Yarrowia lipolytica: one gene and its partners. The protein of the gene in region 1 interacts with the protein of each later gene in a biochemical or structural test. Links are inferred from orthologs where the notes say so. Each region holds a gene or a part of one and is shown on either strand. Other genes may lie near its edges. The genes, in order: YALI1_E07302g, YALI1_B27307g, YALI1_F03842g and YALI1_F34105g.

What was found.
Region 2: of the proteins of YALI1_E07302g (region 1) and YALI1_B27307g, one has a biochemical effect on the other in vitro, tested with the Schizosaccharomyces pombe proteins (2 studies listed by BioGRID, with this or other methods). The link is inferred for Yarrowia lipolytica from reciprocal best matches to the Schizosaccharomyces pombe genes uba1 and ubc7.
Region 3: of the proteins of YALI1_E07302g (region 1) and YALI1_F03842g, one has a biochemical effect on the other in vitro, tested with the Schizosaccharomyces pombe proteins (2 studies listed by BioGRID). The link is inferred for Yarrowia lipolytica from reciprocal best matches to the Schizosaccharomyces pombe genes uba1 and ubc1.
Region 4: of the proteins of YALI1_E07302g (region 1) and YALI1_F34105g, one has a biochemical effect on the other in vitro, tested with the Schizosaccharomyces pombe proteins (2 studies listed by BioGRID). The link is inferred for Yarrowia lipolytica from reciprocal best matches to the Schizosaccharomyces pombe genes uba1 and rhp6.

The regions. Positions count from the first base shown.
Region 1 is NC_090774.1:726,169-732,051, reverse strand, and holds YALI1_E07302g (uncharacterized protein), read left to right. Parts: upstream 1-1,790; coding exon 1,791-4,838; downstream 4,839-5,883. Other genes in the region: YALI1_E07347g (uncharacterized protein), read left to right, coding at 1-135; YALI1_E07306g (uncharacterized protein), read right to left, coding at 604-1,392; YALI1_E07259g (uncharacterized protein), read right to left, coding at 5,736-5,883.
Region 2 is NC_090771.1:2,729,407-2,733,363, forward strand, and holds YALI1_B27307g (uncharacterized protein), read right to left. Parts: upstream 1,698-3,957; coding exon 1,591-1,697; intron 1,365-1,590; coding exon 962-1,364; downstream 1-961. Other genes in the region: YALI1_B27293g (uncharacterized protein), read left to right, coding at 1-542; YALI1_B27320g (uncharacterized protein), read left to right, coding at 2,664-3,851. UniProt on the Schizosaccharomyces pombe protein: Catalyzes the covalent attachment of ubiquitin to other proteins. Functions in degradation of misfolded or regulated proteins localized in the endoplasmic reticulum (ER) lumen or membrane via the ubiquitin-proteasome system.
Region 3 is NC_090775.1:381,942-385,796, reverse strand, and holds YALI1_F03842g (uncharacterized protein), read right to left. Parts: upstream 1,539-3,855; coding exon 1,355-1,538; intron 1,295-1,354; coding exon 846-1,294; downstream 1-845. Other genes in the region: YALI1_F03855g (uncharacterized protein), read right to left, coding at 1-141, 285-287; YALI1_F03830g (uncharacterized protein), read right to left, coding at 2,260-2,727; YALI1_F03803g (uncharacterized protein), read right to left, coding at 3,841-3,855. UniProt on the Schizosaccharomyces pombe protein: Catalyzes the covalent attachment of ubiquitin to other proteins. Functions in degradation of misfolded or regulated proteins localized in the endoplasmic reticulum (ER) lumen or membrane via the ubiquitin-proteasome system.
Region 4 is NC_090775.1:3,408,396-3,411,691, forward strand, and holds YALI1_F34105g (uncharacterized protein), read left to right. Parts: upstream 1-2,135; coding exon 2,136-2,591; downstream 2,592-3,296. Other genes in the region: YALI1_F34083g (uncharacterized protein), read left to right, coding at 1-856; YALI1_F34095g (uncharacterized protein), read left to right, coding at 1,128-1,413, 1,548-1,723.

The DNA of each region.
Region 1 (5,883 bases):
AGAGTGCAGGCTGCCGTTCAGGCGTATTTCAACGTTGAGCTGGCGCAGGAGGTGCTTCAATCGGATGAGTCTGTGGAGAATTTGGCTGAGCGACTGCTCAGAATTAGAGACGCCCTTAAAGGTCTTACTGTATAAAGGAGGAGAATGAATATGTATGAATAGATTGAAAATTGTTTGCAGAGAGCATATCTGGAAGAACGTGTGTGTGTGTGTGTGTGTGTGTCAACAAATATCGGATCAAGTGAAGAGCACAAACCAGAGTTGCGAGTGACGTGTAATTCTGGGCCACGGGCTACAGACCTTGACGTAGGGGTCTATAGTAGATAGAATGGTGATGACAGTACATTGATTGACCGCAATTGACACTTACAACTACGTAACATGTAATGTTCAATGCGTTATCTATGTAATATTATGTACCCGTAGTTTGGTTGGTTGTGTTTTAAACGCGACATCAAGCACCCTAGCTGCTGTATGACTCTGTGCACTCCTCCATTCACGTGGTCGGTGAACCATTCTATCGGTGAGGATACTTATGACACCCTCAGTATGTTGTGCCACTAAGTTTTCCACGCATGCTCACAGACTCATTCCAGTCATTCCTTATTGCTCCAACAAAACTCCATGCATGACTCCTCTGATCTCCCGGGCCATCTCCTCGGTCTTGTCGAAAATCTCCTCCATCTGCTTCTCGCTCACGTTACCGCCTTCAATCCACATGCCCACAATCTTCTTGCTTGCTGCCATGTAGGATACTACTCCGTCAATCTCGCTGGTAGGTGCTCTTGAGGGCGACACAGTTGCCTTGTTCTCATCGAGCAGCACACTTCCTGCTGTCACAATATCGGTGCACTCGAGACCGGAATCGGCCAGAGCGGCGCCAGCGCACGAAACTGCGGCAGCCACGGTGGTCTTGGTATTATTGGAAGAAGACAGAACTGATATGCTGACATCGATGGTGGACTTGGGGTACTTCTCGACCAATATGCTGGGCAGGAGAGAGGTGTGGACGTACGATGAAACGTTCTTCTGCAGAGAAGAGCTCTGTGTGGTGCTGGCAGATCGAATGTATTGGGTCAGCTGGGTGGAGCTAACCACAGCACTCTTACTCTCAATATCGCAGAGAGAGACAGGGAGAAATTTTGTGTCCACGTTCAGGATGGCCGATGTTGTGAACAGACCTCTCATAGGTCGAGGACCATGGACAATGGCCACAATTTTGATATCATCCAGCTCCAAGTAGGCCGATCCGTTTGCGTTTTCGACCACTCCGGTCTTGACGAAGATGCTGCCGATATCCAGGCTTTTCTGCTCAACCTCGGTCGGCTTGATGTTGTCCAGGGTGAATGGCACCGCGTCAGCAGGCCCCAAAACTCGTCTTCGGTCAGTCATAGTGTTGTGTGGTTGATAGTGAAACTCACAAATAAATTTCTGCACGATGTTGGTGCAGGCGTGGTTAGCGTTGGGAGCGAAGTTTATTTGGTAGATAGCTAATTACGTAAGCTGCGGGTGACCTGATTTTGATACAGCGTGGTGGTGCTGACTAAAGACTTCTAATACGACAAACATGTAGCAAACGAAGATAGCAAATCAATTGGTAAGCAACTAAAAGGCCCTTATGACTCAACCTTAAACCCAAACCTCCCTTTCTCTATATATAATGTCCTCAATTATTCATTGCTCCACATTATCTCCGTTTACCCTAACCCAACATCAAGGTTGACGACACTTAGTTCCACACGATTCCTTGCCACAGTTCAATCTACACTTACACAACTACCACTTTTGCAATGTCAGACAAGTCAGACAAGATGCAAATCGACAACGCAGGCGAAATTGATGAGTCCCTGTACTCGCGACAGCTCTATGTGCTTGGACACGAGGCCATGAAGAAGATGGCCAACTCCAACGTTCTTATCGTGGGTCTCCAGGGTCTGGGAATTGAGATTGCCAAGAACATTGTTCTGGCTGGAGTCAAGTCGCTGACTCTGTATGACCCCGGCAAGACCGAGGTTGCAGATCTCAGTGCCCAGTTTTTCCTGCGAGAGGACGACGTGGGCAAGCGACGAGACCAGGTGTCTCAGCCTCGACTGGCAGAGCTCAATTCGTACGTTCCTGTGCACGTTTTGGAGGCCAAGGATCTCTCCGAGGAGGAGGTGGCTCGATTCCAGGTGGTTGTGCTGACCAATGCTTCTCTAGAAGAACAGATTCGAGTCAACGAAATCACACACAAGCAGAATATTGGGTTTGTCAGCACAGACACCCGAGGTCTTTTCGGTAACATCTTTGTCGATTTTGGCTCATCTTTTGCTCTGATTGACGCCAACGGAGAGGAGCCCCATTCCGGAATCATTGCCGGTATTGACGAGGAGGGTAACGTTGCTGCTCTCGATGAGACTCGACACAACCTTGAGGATGGAGATTATGTTAAGTTCACTGAGGTCGAGGGTCTCGATATCAACGGTGACACTCCCCGAAAGATCAAGGTCACAGGTCCTTATTCGTTCAATATTGGTTCTGTTGACGGTCTGGGCACCTACAAGAAGGGAGGTCTTTTCACCCAGGTCAAGATGCCCCAGGAGATTTCGTTTGGTTCGCTCAAGGAGCAGCTGGCCAAGCCCGAGTTACTGATTTCCGACTTCGCCAAGATGGAGCGACCCGCACAGCTACATGTCGGCTTCATGGCCGTCCAGGCGTTCCAGCAGAAGCACGGTCGAGCCCCCCGACCTCAGAATACCGAGGACGCCAACGAGGTGCTGCACCTGGCCAAGAGCGTCACTGCAGAGTACCCCGACGTGCTTTCTGGAGGCGAAATCGACGAAAAGCTGCTCACCCAGCTGTCTTTCCAGGCCGCTGGTGAACTGCCCGCCATGACTGCTCTCTTTGGTGGAATGGCTGCCCAGGAGGTACTGAAGGGCTGCTCGGGCAAGTTTGGCCCCATCCGACAGTGGGTCTACTTCGACTCTTTGGAGTCTCTGCCCAAGGACGTGGCTCTAACTGAGCAGTCTGTGGCTCCCACCGGCTCGCGATATGACCGACAGGTTGCCGTCTTTGGTAAGGAGTTCACCGAGAAGATTTTTGCTGTTAAGACTTTCCTGGTTGGCTCTGGAGCCATCGGTTGCGAGATGCTTAAGAACTGGGCTCTCATGGGTCTTGGAAAGGACGGAGAGATCCACGTGACCGATAACGACGTGATTGAGAAGTCCAACCTTAACCGACAGTTTCTGTTCCGACCCAAGGATGTGGGCAAACACAAGTCCGTGACCGCTACCGAGGCTGTGGCAGAGATGAACCCTGATCTCAAGGGCCACTTTGATGCCAAGCTCGACAAGGTCGGTCCCGATACCGAGAACATCTTCGACGACTCGTTCTGGAAGTCTCTGGACTTTGTGACTAACGCTCTGGACAACGTTGACGCCCGAACCTACGTCGATCGACGATGTGTCTTTTTCCAGAAGCCTCTGCTCGAGTCAGGAACCCTGGGAACCAAGGGTAACGTGCAGGTTGTCTACCCCAACCTGACTGAATCGTACTCTTCCTCCCAGGATCCCCCTGAGAAGGGCATTCCCCTCTGTACTCTGCGATCTTTCCCTAATAAGGTTGACCACACGATTGCCTGGGCCAAATCCATCTTCCAGGGCTACTTTACCGACAATGTTGAGTCTGTGAATCTGTTTCTGAGCCAGCCCAATTTTGTGGAGTCCACCCTCAAGCAGACTGGTGACCAGAAGTCTATTCTGGAGAACATCAAGTCGTACCTGGTGGACGAACGACCTACGACTTTCAAGGAGTGTGTCCAGTGGGCCCGTCTGGAGTTTGAGAAGAAGTTCAACGGCGACATTAGTCAGCTTCTGTACAACTTCCCCAAGGACGCCACCACTTCTACTGGTGCTCCTTTCTGGTCTGGACCTAAGCGAGCTCCTGACGCTCTCGAATTTGATTTCAACAACCAGGACCATCTGGATTTTCTCATTGCTGGCGCTAATCTGCGAGCCTTCAACTACGGTATCCGAGGTGATGACCTTGATGTTTCTGAGTACAAGGAAGTTGTGGACAACATGACTGTGCCCAAGTTTGAACCCAAGTCCGGTATTAAGATCCAGGCCAACGAGAACGAGAGCGTCGACCCTGTGGATGCCGACTCCGAGGAGCTGACCCAGCTGGCCAACTCGCTGCCTCCTCCTTCTTCTCTGGCTGGTTTCCGACTCACTCCCGTTGAGTTTGAGAAGGACGATGACACCAACTTCCACATCCAGTTCATCACGGCTGCCTCCAACTGTCGAGCTCAGAACTACGCTATTGACGGCGCTGATCGACACAAGACCAAGTTCATTGCTGGACGAATCATTCCCGCTATTGCTACCACCACTGCTCTGGTGACTGGTCTTGTCTGTCTGGAGCTCTACAAGGTGGTGGACAAGCGAGAGGTGATCGAGGACTACAAGAACGGCTTTGTCAATCTCGCTCTGCCTTTTCTGGGCTTCTCTGAGCCCATTGCTTCGCAGAAGATGGAGATTGCTGGTGTCGAGCTGGACAAGATCTGGGGTCGATACGACATTCACGAGAACTTGACTCTCAAGCAGTTTTTGGAGTTCTTTGAGAAGAACTACAACCTGACGGTGACCATGCTGTCCCAGAACGTGTCTCTCCTGTACGCCTCCTTCTTCCCTCCTGCCAAGCTCAACGAGAAGTACGATTTGACTCTGACCGAGCTGGTGGAGGCCGTCACTAAGAAGAAGCTCGAGCCTCACGTTAAGACTCTGATCTTTGAGGTTTGTGCCGAGGACCAGGACGGTGAGGATGTCGACGATATCCCCTATGTTTGTCTCCATCTTTAGAGAGCTCTTTGGCGATCGTTAGAGGTGTTAGACTATATAATTAATGAGTAGATGAGCTGTATGGAAGCAGTACTACCAATGACTCGGTGGATCAGCAGAGTATGATAAGTACGGTTGTGCAAAAACAAGCGGTGCAATACTGTAGTCTTTCGTAGAACGTGACAGAGAGGTCAAACAAGGACAATGCCAAGTTTGAATTGAAAGTTGGTCAGGCCGTTACTGTCTCTGATTATAAAGGCAGTTTCGTTTCTACTGTGAATAGATGAAATGTTTACTATAGCATGAAGTAAAAATGAGATAGAGCGTGTTTTCAGGCTGCACCAATGGAGAAGAAACTCCTTCTGATGGAGGCCTGTATAAACGTGCGACACGTTCTACTCCCTCTACATAGGCACGTATTCACCAGCGTATAGTGCGTGTAATTTAGTGCTACGAATGCATTAGTCTGGATGTTAGCGACAGCATGACAATGACACAAGGGGGTATAGAGACGACTCCTGAGACGACACCGAATGCGTCTGTTTGAGATGAGTTGAGGTGTGATTTTTGGGGTTGCAGTGGTTCTGTGGAGTATCGTATATAAGTAGGGATTATTTCTTGGTGAGACACAGTAAAACGATACAACTACTCGTACCGGTACAGTATGTATTGGTACAGTATTCCTATCGCATTCGTACACAGACAACTGACACAACGGTTTGTTGGCACAGCTAACCCTCACTCCACACTATTCACATTCTTCTAACCCACCCACTTCAGCTCAGCTCTCTATTACATTATTGGGTTACATAAATATCTACATTTGATAATACAATGATTGGGGTTGCAACGGGGTGCCAGAAGGGTCAAGAAGACAAGACACGAAGGAAAGGCATGGAGAAAAGACAAAAGGTAGTCTCATGGGGTTCCGCAATCACTGTAGGCGGCAATTTCGGCGCGGATTTCCGGAATTGCCGTGAGCACCACGTAGATGAGCTCCAAGCGGCGGACCGGCAGGCTATACGTCAGGTCGTGGTTGCCGCAGATGATGACAAGCTCCTCCGTG
Region 2 (3,957 bases), on another chromosome or scaffold:
GAGGAGGCGAGCTCGAAAGCATTGAAAAGTTCTTCTCCGCTCAGGACAAGCCCCTTGAGACCCTCAAAGAGGTCAAGGACCAGTACACAGAATCCACCCCTCTGCACTATGCCGCTGCCAACGGTCACATTGACGTTGTCAAGTATCTGCTTGGTTTGGTTGCAGAGGATGCCGAAGCCCAGGCCGCTCTCATTTCCGCCCAGAACGACTCGGGCAACACAGCTCTGCATTGGGCAGCATTAAACGGAAACCTGGACATTGTCAAGCTGCTGTGTGAGGCCAAGGCCGATCCCTTCGTCAAGAACCAGAGTGGACAAGATGTGCTTTACGCCGCCGAGAACTTTGACAAGGAGGATGTCATTGACTACCTGCTGGAGAACTATGATTATGCACCCAAGGAGGATGAGAACATCAAGATTCGATATGAGGATGAGGCTGACGAGGCTAACGAGACTGACGAGGCTGACGAGGCAAAGGAGGAGACCGCTGAGGATAAGGAGACTGAGGAGGTTACTGACACCCTCAAGACCACTTCTGTTTAAGCACATAAAAGGATATTTAATAGATTGTATGATTGATAGAGTTGTGTGTGTGAATGTGCTTGGTAGTTGATGTGTTGTTGACTCATGGACCTTGTGCCTAACGGCAGTAGAATGAGCACAGTATTGCACATTACTGTAAGGCTGGAGTCGGCGTATCACTTCTTTCATCGTAATCACATACTTGAGCGAGTACAAGTAGCTACTGTACTTGTAGATCATTGAAGTGAGCTCAGGCAGACATGCAAATGCTTCCAAACAATTAACCGCAACTGCACCACTTTCAGTTGACACTGCTGGTTTTCAGCTACTCTTTTATAGTAGTCACCTCTGTTTACAACACCATCAAACTCGTTAATCTATTGTACTCGATAATATCACTCCTTGACGCACTCAACCTCTAGTAACGTCCCATGCACTACCTATAATCCCAAGGCCTTTCGAACAGTTCCTCGGACAATCTTGACAAACTGTTCCTGGTCGTCTCGCCACATTTTGCTGGCGTCAATGTTGGCCCCTGACTCGTCGTTGGGCTCGGCTAGCATGCTCATCACCGACAGCAGAATCTTGTCTACCGACTGGATGGGCGACCACCGTTCCGAAGCGCTCTCATACATGTTGGGATCGTCACCAGGAGCATGCAAAATGGAAATACACACGGTTCCGTCCTTGTAAATGTTGGGGTGGTACATTTCGCAGGTGAACTTCATCACTGGAGGGGACAGGGGGTAATCCTGGGGGAATTTGAGTGTTGCGGGGAACAGGCCACCCTCGTACGGAGTATCATCTGGTCCCTGTATCAGACATTCCCAGAGTAGAAAGTTACTGTGTTAGTGGAGTTGTGGCATGATTGTGGATTGTAACCGGGTATCATAAGCACAAGGAAACAGCATGACATATTACTGGACAAATGTGTAATCAAACTGACTGGATGAAGTCGATGTTTGTTTGGCCCCGAAAATGGACCGTAACAATATTATCGTCTTTCCGGACACCGCATGAAACACACCATGTCAGCCTGAATGTGATTGTGTCTCCCCACTTCACTCACTCTTCGTCAGCAGGACCTGCACTGATTCCCTGGGGAGGATCACTAATGAACTGCTTGTACTCCTTCATGAGCCGCTTCTGGGCCACAGATGGTCGCTTGCCCGACATGGTGTATGGTATTTTTGGTTGTGTGTGCTGGTGAGACGTTGATTGATCTGGGGATGCGTGCTTAATGTTGTCGCGTGTACTTGGCGGCTTAGTCAGCTAGTATCAATGCACCCGAATATTGCCCAATTGAACAATCGATTTCACTTCGGATTAGCCTTATTTGAGTCATGTGACGTCCATAGTGTCCAGTATTCCATTTCCGATTTTTCCCCCCTGTTCTCATTTGATTTCCGGCGCACACCCAAAGCATGCTCGTAGTCATAGATCATGATAACCCTATTGCCCCTGTTCAGCCTTAGAGGAAGCGATTACTTGTGAATACTGGTACAAGCGCGATACTTGTGCTTACATGCTGGTGTTTGTCTATGGTTGACCGCTTCAATAATTTTGAGGCTTCCTTTCTATGCATGTGGCTACCCCGCTCCATAAATCTGTGCTCATCGTAATATTACAATCCTGCCATAACTGTGCCACTCGCTTAATGCCAGTGCCAACCCCTTGCTACAATACGTTGAGTTGAGGATAAGTACTTGAAAGGTGGGTTTCACACGTGACTTTTTCCTTCTTTTGCTCCTTGCAAGAACACCCACCTTTTTGCTGCATAACTCTGTTGGCTGTGATCAATGGGCAAAAAAAAAAGCATGCCTTTGATTGGTACAATTGAGTGGGGGATCGTTGTAATTTGACGTGGCCCGGCAGTTTGGGACACACATAAGCCATAGTACGCACCACAATGCCGCATTTAACCGGTCAAAAAGGGCCATATAATTACGTTGGGGCGACGAGGGGCGTTCGTGGCCCATATGCCGATTAGTGAGTTTCGCTCAAAGTTCGCATATATAGGGCTAGGGTAGGCCGTGTGGAAAAATTTTTATTAGGTATTTCAGTTTTGGGTCTTCAACTCTTGAACACATATACATTTGTGCAACAAGGTATATTTGATAAAAAACACCAATTGAAAACAAAATGGCCGACGGACTCACCGACATCGATTCTTCCCAGATCACCACCAACTACGACGAGGTTGTTACCTCTTTCGACGACCTTGGACTCAAGGACGAGCTGCTCCGAGGTATCTACGGTTACGGTTTTGAGAACCCTTCCTCCATTCAGCAGCGAGCCATCCTGCCCGTCATCAAGGGTAACGATGTCCTTGCCCAGGCCCAGTCTGGTACTGGTAAGACTGCCACCTTCTCTATCTCTGCTCTGCAGAACATTGACGAGAAGATTAAGAAGCCCCAGGCTCTGATCATTGCCCCCACTCGAGAGCTGGCCCACCAGATCCAGAAGGTTGTCCTTGCCTTTGGCGAGTACATGAAGATTGAGTGCCACGCCTGCATTGGTGGTACCTCCGTCGCCGAGGACATCCGAGTCATCCAGGAGGGTGTCCACGTCATTGTCGGAACCCCCGGTCGAATCCACGATATGATTGAGCGACGAATCCTCAAGACCGACCTCATCAAGATGTTCATCCTTGATGAGGCCGATGAGATGCTTTCTCGAGAGTTCAAGGACCCCATCTACGATATCTTCACCACCCTCCCCGAGACCACCCAGACCGTTCTGCTGTCTGCCACCATGCCCGCTGAGGTCCTCGACATCACCGGCAAGTTCATGCGAGACCCCGTCCGAATTCTTGTCAAGAAGGATGAGCTGACCCTTGAAGGTATCAAGCAGTTCTACATTGATGTTGAGCAGGAGTCCTACAAGTTTGAGGTTCTGTGCGATCTCTACGAGACCATCAACGTTTCTCAGGCCGTCATTTTCTGCAACACCCGACGAAAGGTCGACTACCTGACCCAGGCTCTGACCGAGGCTGACTTCACCGTCTCCTCCATGCACGGTGAGACCGAGCAGTCTCAGCGAGATGTCATTATGAAGGCTTTCCGAACCGGTTCTTCTCGAATCCTCATCACTACCGATCTGCTTGCCCGAGGTATCGATGTCCAGCAGGTTTCTCTGGTCATCAACTTCGACCTGCCCTCCAACCGAGAGAACTACATCCATCGAATTGGTCGAGGTGGACGATTCGGCCGAAAGGGTGTTGCCATCAACTTCGTCACCTCCGAGGACCACGGTATGCTCAAGGAGCTCGAGCGATTCTACTCCACTGAGATCGTTGAGATGCCCACCAACATTGCCGATCTTATTTAAACCGAGCTACCTTTTTAACCATTGTAGTGAGGCAACTGAGCGCCCCAGTGAGGTTGTTAAAGTAAAAGTAATTCAAAATTGAGAATGTTATTAGATGAATAAGTAG
Region 3 (3,855 bases), on another chromosome or scaffold:
CACGCCGGGCAGTTTGTTGGCGTTTTCGGGGCCCTTCTTCTTCTTTCGATGCGATCGTGTGTTCACGGGAGGCTCATACTTGGGCTTCTCGTTCTTCTTGTCGTCCTTCTTCTTGTCTCCGGGGAGTGATGGTCGGTTACCCTGGGGTTAGTACTGATTGTAGTGGTCATTCGCCACCTTGCGAGAATTGGATCAAAACCGGATTTTGTGACAATCGGCGTGTCGTGGCAACCGTTTGGCCACCATCCATTGCCCTCCAAGCGCAGAAACCGCGCTATACTCACCATGATGAATGTGTTGTGTTGTATGAGTTTGTAAGTGCTGGAACCTCTCTGGCTTGGCCACTGTGGTTTTGAGTTGTGTGTTCCCTTAGGCACACACAATTCAGTGCCGGGTAACTGTGATAAGTACTGCAAGTGAGTACACGATCAGACGTGCGTACAAGTAATCAGAGTACGGATCCAGACGATTTTTCGGGTGAGGTGTGTTTGCCACCCTTTGCTACTACCACCACGTGACCCCTTTTTTTGTCGATTCATACATTATTGTGCAAAATGTCCCATGGAATGTTCTAGGCACCATGGTAGAGATGAGTAAGCATTAAGCGAGCAAGCTACTATACCAATAGAAGTTAACGCTGAGGTTATGAGACCTGGTTACTGCTACAGTACTAATAGAAGCAAATTTGTAGTGACTAACAGTCGTTACTTACCCATTACTAAATCACACCCTTCAATACATTGCAACCATGACGCCATGACGCCACATCTACAAATAAATCTACTTGTACTGTGTGCTACTCATACGCCCACTGATATCAAGACTTATGCATATAAATTAACAGCCTAGTTCAGAAGCTCCTCGACCACTCTCTGCTCGTCCTCTTGAGACTGAGGCTTCTTGATTTGCAGCTTTTTGAACACGGCGATGATCTTGTCTTTGCCAAAACCCATGCTGGCGAATCCCTCAACGGCGTCTCGATCCAGGCCAAGGCGTGCGATCTCGTCTTGATCTCCTCCAGCGTTGCCACCGGCGTACTGGGCTGTCCATTCTGCTGCAGTACGCTCAAAAGCGGCCTTGTCGGTGAGATAGATCTTGGCCACCTCAGCATCCTGGGGGTCGTTGGGCTCGGCAGATTGCAGCAGCGACTGCAGCGAGATAAGCGACGATTTGAGCGTGAAGACAGGCGACCATGCGTCCTTGAGAATGTCGAGACAGATGGCGCCGGTCTGCGACGAAATGTTGGGGTGGTAAATGCGAGTGTCAAACTTCATTCGAGGAGGCTTGAAGGGGTCTGTGTTAGTTCGGCAGCGGCAGACATGGCCACATTGTCTGTGTGGCTCTCTTTACTCACAATCATTGGGGATCTGGATATCGACCACAAAAGTGCCGCCCTGGTAGGGAGTGCCGGGAGGCCCGTGGAAGGTGCCCTTCAGATGGGAGATGTCGGCATCGTTGATGGCCTGGATGGTGATGCCGGCTTCGGAGTCGGACCGCACATCCTCCATCTCTCTGGCTACTCGTCGGGCTCGTGACATTGTCTTTGTTGTATTTCTTTTCCTGTTGATGAGGAGGAGAGAGGGAGTCTCATAATGCTGCGCCTGCGATAATAGGTCCCAACCTCAAAAGTGGTTAGGTTGCAGCGGGTGGTGTTGCGGGGCACGTGAGGTGAGACTTTGAAGCAATGCTGTGTAGTGTATGTATAAAGATGGAAGGTTGCCTGGCGCATTTGAAGGTATTTGGCGCACTTATCTCACGGCTATTGCTACATACTACAGCTCCTGTTGCTGTGCCAAAAGATGGTTGCTCAGAAGAGTCTCTCCATCGCAATTACTGTAACGGACTGTCGAAAACTTTATATGACAGATACGACGTGGGTTGAGGGAGTGAAATACAGTGAAATAAAACTGATCTAAATTAAGCACTGGAATAAAAGCCTCTCCAACTACCAGTCGCACGCACAGTAGTTGATCTCTTGAATACTCAAGTACTACTTGCTTAGATTATTGCAGAAAGTTGCTATTAACGACATACTTGATATATTACAAGCCCCATTTCCATATGATTACTTCACTAAAACTCAGCTACTACTGTGAATGTTCTGTGCTTCTGCTCATACTTGTATGCGGCGATGGGTCTGGTTCTTCGAGCTCTACTCTCAAAGCTTCGGGACCACTCAGACCTGAAACAACAGCCACTGCTCGACAAAATCCTCGACAAAATCCTTCACAGTCTTGTCTAAACTAACCCAATCATTGTCTAGCACCTTTCGGGTTTACTCATTGTCTTGCCCTTGAGATCGGGAACCTCTTTGTTTACTGTATCCCGCAAATCCTGGTTGCACAACTTGGAGACACACGGCATAAGTCGCTGGTTGTCGAGGTTCTGGGGATGGCAGACACATGAGCTCTGACCCTCGGACGTATCTTGCCCGGGTGTGGTAGACAAGTGACCCTGAATGATGGTCCCATTAGTGGTGGAGTTGGGAGACTTCGCGTCTAGAGCAATACCACTACCAAACACGTAGCCGGGGTTGACGGTGGTAAGGCCAAACGAGGGCTTCTCAGACTTTATGAATCCCCAGGCCACCTTCCCTGCATACTTCTTGGAGCCCATGTAGGATACAAAAGCGTTGTCCTTATGAGAAGCTTCTCCCCATGCCACGGGAATCCACGACTCCTCGGTTACCAAGGAGGAATAATCGTTAGCCTCGTTCTTGTTGAGCATGGCTGCGAACGATGAGGTGATTTCCACGTGGGGAGCGTAGGTATTGCTTGACGATGACGACCTTGAGAACAGTCAGAGTTCTGTTGACGGAAGGCTCAGTAGATCCTTGACGGGGTCCTCGACATTGAAAGGTGAAGGAGAGGCGGTATGGAGCACGTATTTGATGCTTTTGAAGCCGAGTCTTGAACCCTCTTCAGATCGAACGTCGGAAACCGTCTCAAAAACCAGTTGTCCGGACTTGATAGCCTCGGAGAAAGCCACAGCTAGTCGCTGACCCTTTTCTTCTGATGGGATAATTCCCATGACTTTGTGATTGGCCTGGAGGAGTTTATCGATACAGTTGCCAGCAACGAAGCCAGCAGTTTACAATAACCAGATGCTCATGAATGAGCTAGAGATACCACTCCATGCGTTTACTTTGCACATGTTGAACTGAGCGGGGCTATATGTGATCCTAACTACGGTATATCAATGGCAATTCACTCGTGTTTGCACATAATTATTGCCATGGTGGTTACTATGGCTGGATTCCTTGTGATCGTCAAATTTCATATTTTCGACTTACTGTACTGTTTAGCTACTGCTTGTACTTTAGTTAGGAGTTTGTTTATAAGGGGGAAAATCTTCACCTGGGGATCTTAGTTCAGTGCTCTAAAGACATGTCAGGGAGATGAGAGAAACATCAGGGGATATCCTGAGCCCTGTAGAAAGGAAATATGCTGTATCAAAAACAGGCTATAGTGTTAAGTCTCAGTTTCTCTCAAATCACTGCTCCAGCCTTGAGTGCAATTTATTAGGAGTATAGTTGGTTTTTGTTGGACTCTGTTACAGTTTGAAGTGTAGGGCTGAGCTGAATCATCAGCAAGGAATGATCATGTTGCGAGACGTACTCACATGTGGAAGGGCACTTCAATTCTGGGAGAATTGTGTCTTCATAGTGTATATCTATTACTCCTACTTGTGTTCTATACATAAGGATGTGACTACAGCACATGTATAATACAAAGACATCCCGACTACGTTCCTGTATCTCGTACACTTGATGCTCGACAGTGTCTCGCACCTCATTAAATAACAACTCATAATCATTAACTAATTCAACACATGACTAAATTAGTCCTTCTTGAC
Region 4 (3,296 bases), on another chromosome or scaffold:
CTACCAGGTTCTGGTGGACCACGACCTCATCATTGAATGTGTCGAGCACAAGTACGATTTGCTGAAGGGTCTCCAAAGAACGCTTCAGACCAAGGAGGTCAAGCCCATGATAACGCAACACAGTCTGAACAAGCTGTTTGAGAGCAACAACGAGGAGGCCATTCAGCTAGGCAAGACCTTTGAGCGTCGACGAACCCTGCATTTCGAAAATAGCACTGAGACCCAGGAGAAAAAGCTGAAGTACAATGGTTCCAACGCTGCCCGGAAGATGCATCCCAGCGAGGCCATTTACAAATCGGTTGTTGTCGACGGCTCCAATGTCCACAGATACGTTGTTGCTACACAAGATCCTAGTTTGCGAGGTCGACTTCGGTCCATTCCTGGAGTCCCTCTCATTCATATGAACCGAGCCATCATGCTGCTGGAGCCCTTTTCCCCTGCTTCTGAGCGTGCTCGTCAGCTGATTGAGGCGTCCAAGCTCACATCCGGTCTCAATGCCGTAAAGCGAAAGGCACCTGAGGGAGATGAAGAGCAGGCCAAGAAGCGAAAGGGTCCAAAGGCGCCTAACCCTCTGTCAGTCAAGAAGAAGAAGGTATCTAAGGAGGATCAGGGTAAGCGAGAGCGACCTGAGGAGAAGGAAGATGATTCCCAGTCAGTCAAAAAGGTGCGACGAAAGCGTGCCAAGAGAAAAGATGGTGAGGGGGGAGAATCCAATGAGGGTGGAGAGACTGATGAAGTTCCTCAACTTGTGAAGGATTCCCCCAGAACTGGAGAGGATAATGAGACTAAAGAGGAGACTCCCAAGAAGGAAACGAATTCGGAAGGCAAGGACGATGTTCCTATGAGCGACGAATAAGCAAATAATTTATACATTGATAGATTTACAGTAGGTGAAGGGCCGAACAGGCTACGGAGGAGGTAGAGTAGACAACAATGTACAGTGGTAGGAGAATATTATAGTATGTGTCGAACTGGGAAATGATAATAAACAACGCGAGCGTATATCTATCTGAGAATCCCACAGCTTTACTCACTCTCACTACCGCCAACATTACACCTCCTCAATTACCCTAACCCTACCCAATACTTCGCAGATCTCCACGAGATCAACTCGACACCAGGACACAATGCTCAGACAATCACGGCGTCTTTTCTGCACGTCTCAGCGGGTGCTCAAGAAGCGAGAGTCGCCCCTTCAGACTGCCTTTGGCAACGATGACCCCTACGATGACGGTTTTTTCCACATTGGCGGCAACAACTACAAGGTCAAGAACCCCATCAAGCCCTCCACTTTGAACATTCCCAAACGATGGCCCAAGATGGCCACCGACGAGCAGCAGGATGTCGTCGATTACCTGGAGGATCAGATGCGTGGAGACTGGAAGATTATGACTCCTGAGGAGAAGCAAGCTGGTGAGTATGGAAGGGGAGAACAGACACTAAGGGTATGAGTATAGGAGTGAGATACTAGGAGACACAAACCCGGAGCGGGCCCCAACCGTTACCCCGGTTGATTATTCCACAAACGAGCCCATAAACTAACCCAGCTTACTACATCTACTTTGGACCCTGGGGACCGCGAGAGCCTAACCAGGATCCTGATCGGGGCATGCGATTGCTTACCCGATCCATCTTGTGGATGGCTGTCGGATTCGCATTCTACACTGCCGCCAACCAGTACATTGAGTTCTCCGAGGAGAGCGACTCTGCCTCCAAAAAATAGTCTGTATATAGCCGAAGTCTTGTTTTCGTTTTTAGCTTGTTGCCCGAACTGCTGTTGCACTAGTACATATCGAAGACTTCTTGGTCACGTGACACGTTGCACAGCCCGCAAAAAATCGCCACCGTAACATACTGGGTATGGTGGCTCCTGCCCTATTGCATATAAGGCATCCGTGATTCCGGCTTTTACGCCACCCACATTTGTCATCCTCTCTGCAACCCTAACTCCGTTATATAAAAGTGGTTGTCTTCTTCCCAACATGCAAAGTCTGGATAGCCAGACTGGCGCGCGCCATACAACTCATTACATCACCACCTGAAACAACCAAACAACAACACACGTCACCCCACGCCGCACACGGTTAAGTAACGACAGGTAACCGAAGAAAGAAAATAAAAACCAAGCCACAGCCATGTCCACTACAGCTCGAAGACGTCTCATGCGAGACTTCAAGCGCATGCAACAGGATCCTCCCCAGGGAGTCAGTGCATCTCCTGTGGCTGATAACGTGCTGACATGGAACGCCGTGATCATCGGACCGGCGGAGACCCCGTTTGAAGATGGCACTTTCCGCATGGTGCTGCAGTTTGACGAGCAGTACCCCAACAAACCGCCAGCCGTCAAGTTTGTTTCGCAGATGTTCCACCCCAACGTCTACTCATCTGGCGAGCTATGTCTGGACATTCTGCAAAACCGATGGTCGCCCACCTATGACGTGGCAGCGATTCTGACCTCGGTGCAGTCGCTGCTGAACGACCCCAATACGTCCAGTCCTGCCAACGTGGAGGCGTCTATGCTGTACAAGGATCACCGTCAGCAGTACGAAAAACGGGTGCGGGACACAGTGGAGGCCAGCTGGACCGACTAGAGCGGATAAGAGACGAACTAGAGATACCATTTTACTGGGAACGAGGGAGGGGCCCGTTAGCGGGACACGCATCGGTTGCATTAAGAGGAGGAAAAGATGAGGAAGAGATTAGGGCGTCTGCCACCATCATGCAGTTTGAGCCACTAGACAATGGACGTTGATGGGGATGTTTGGTTCTAGACCAGTTCATATATCTAATCAAACCTTCCGGAATAGGCTGTAAGAAGAGTACCGTGCTTACGTGAACCACCTGGATCAGGAGATATTCTAAGTCGCTGTTTTTCGTTTGACCGGTGTAGTAAATCCGACATGTCATTAACGTCAGTAATTCCGCTGAATACGAAGCTTATCAAACTACCAGTACCGTACAAGTACATACTCATCGCTACTTCACCTCATACATCTGACTTATAGCCCGTCGGAGATGCTAAATGGATTAAACTACTTGTACAATGAAAGGGGGCCGCGTGTGGCTATATTGAAAGCGGTATTTTGGTCAACATGGTTCCGCAGTTCCTGCGCATGTTCTATCCTTTGGAAAACTGAATGGGGTACGAGGGATATATATTTTTACCTCAGTTAAACATCTGTTAGCTGCAAGTACAATAGCTACTGGTAACTGTAGTTGGATGCTTGTCTCACTGTGTACTTCCAAGGTTCGCTGTTAGTCAACAAATTGTCTTCAGCCACATCTTTTATTGCTGT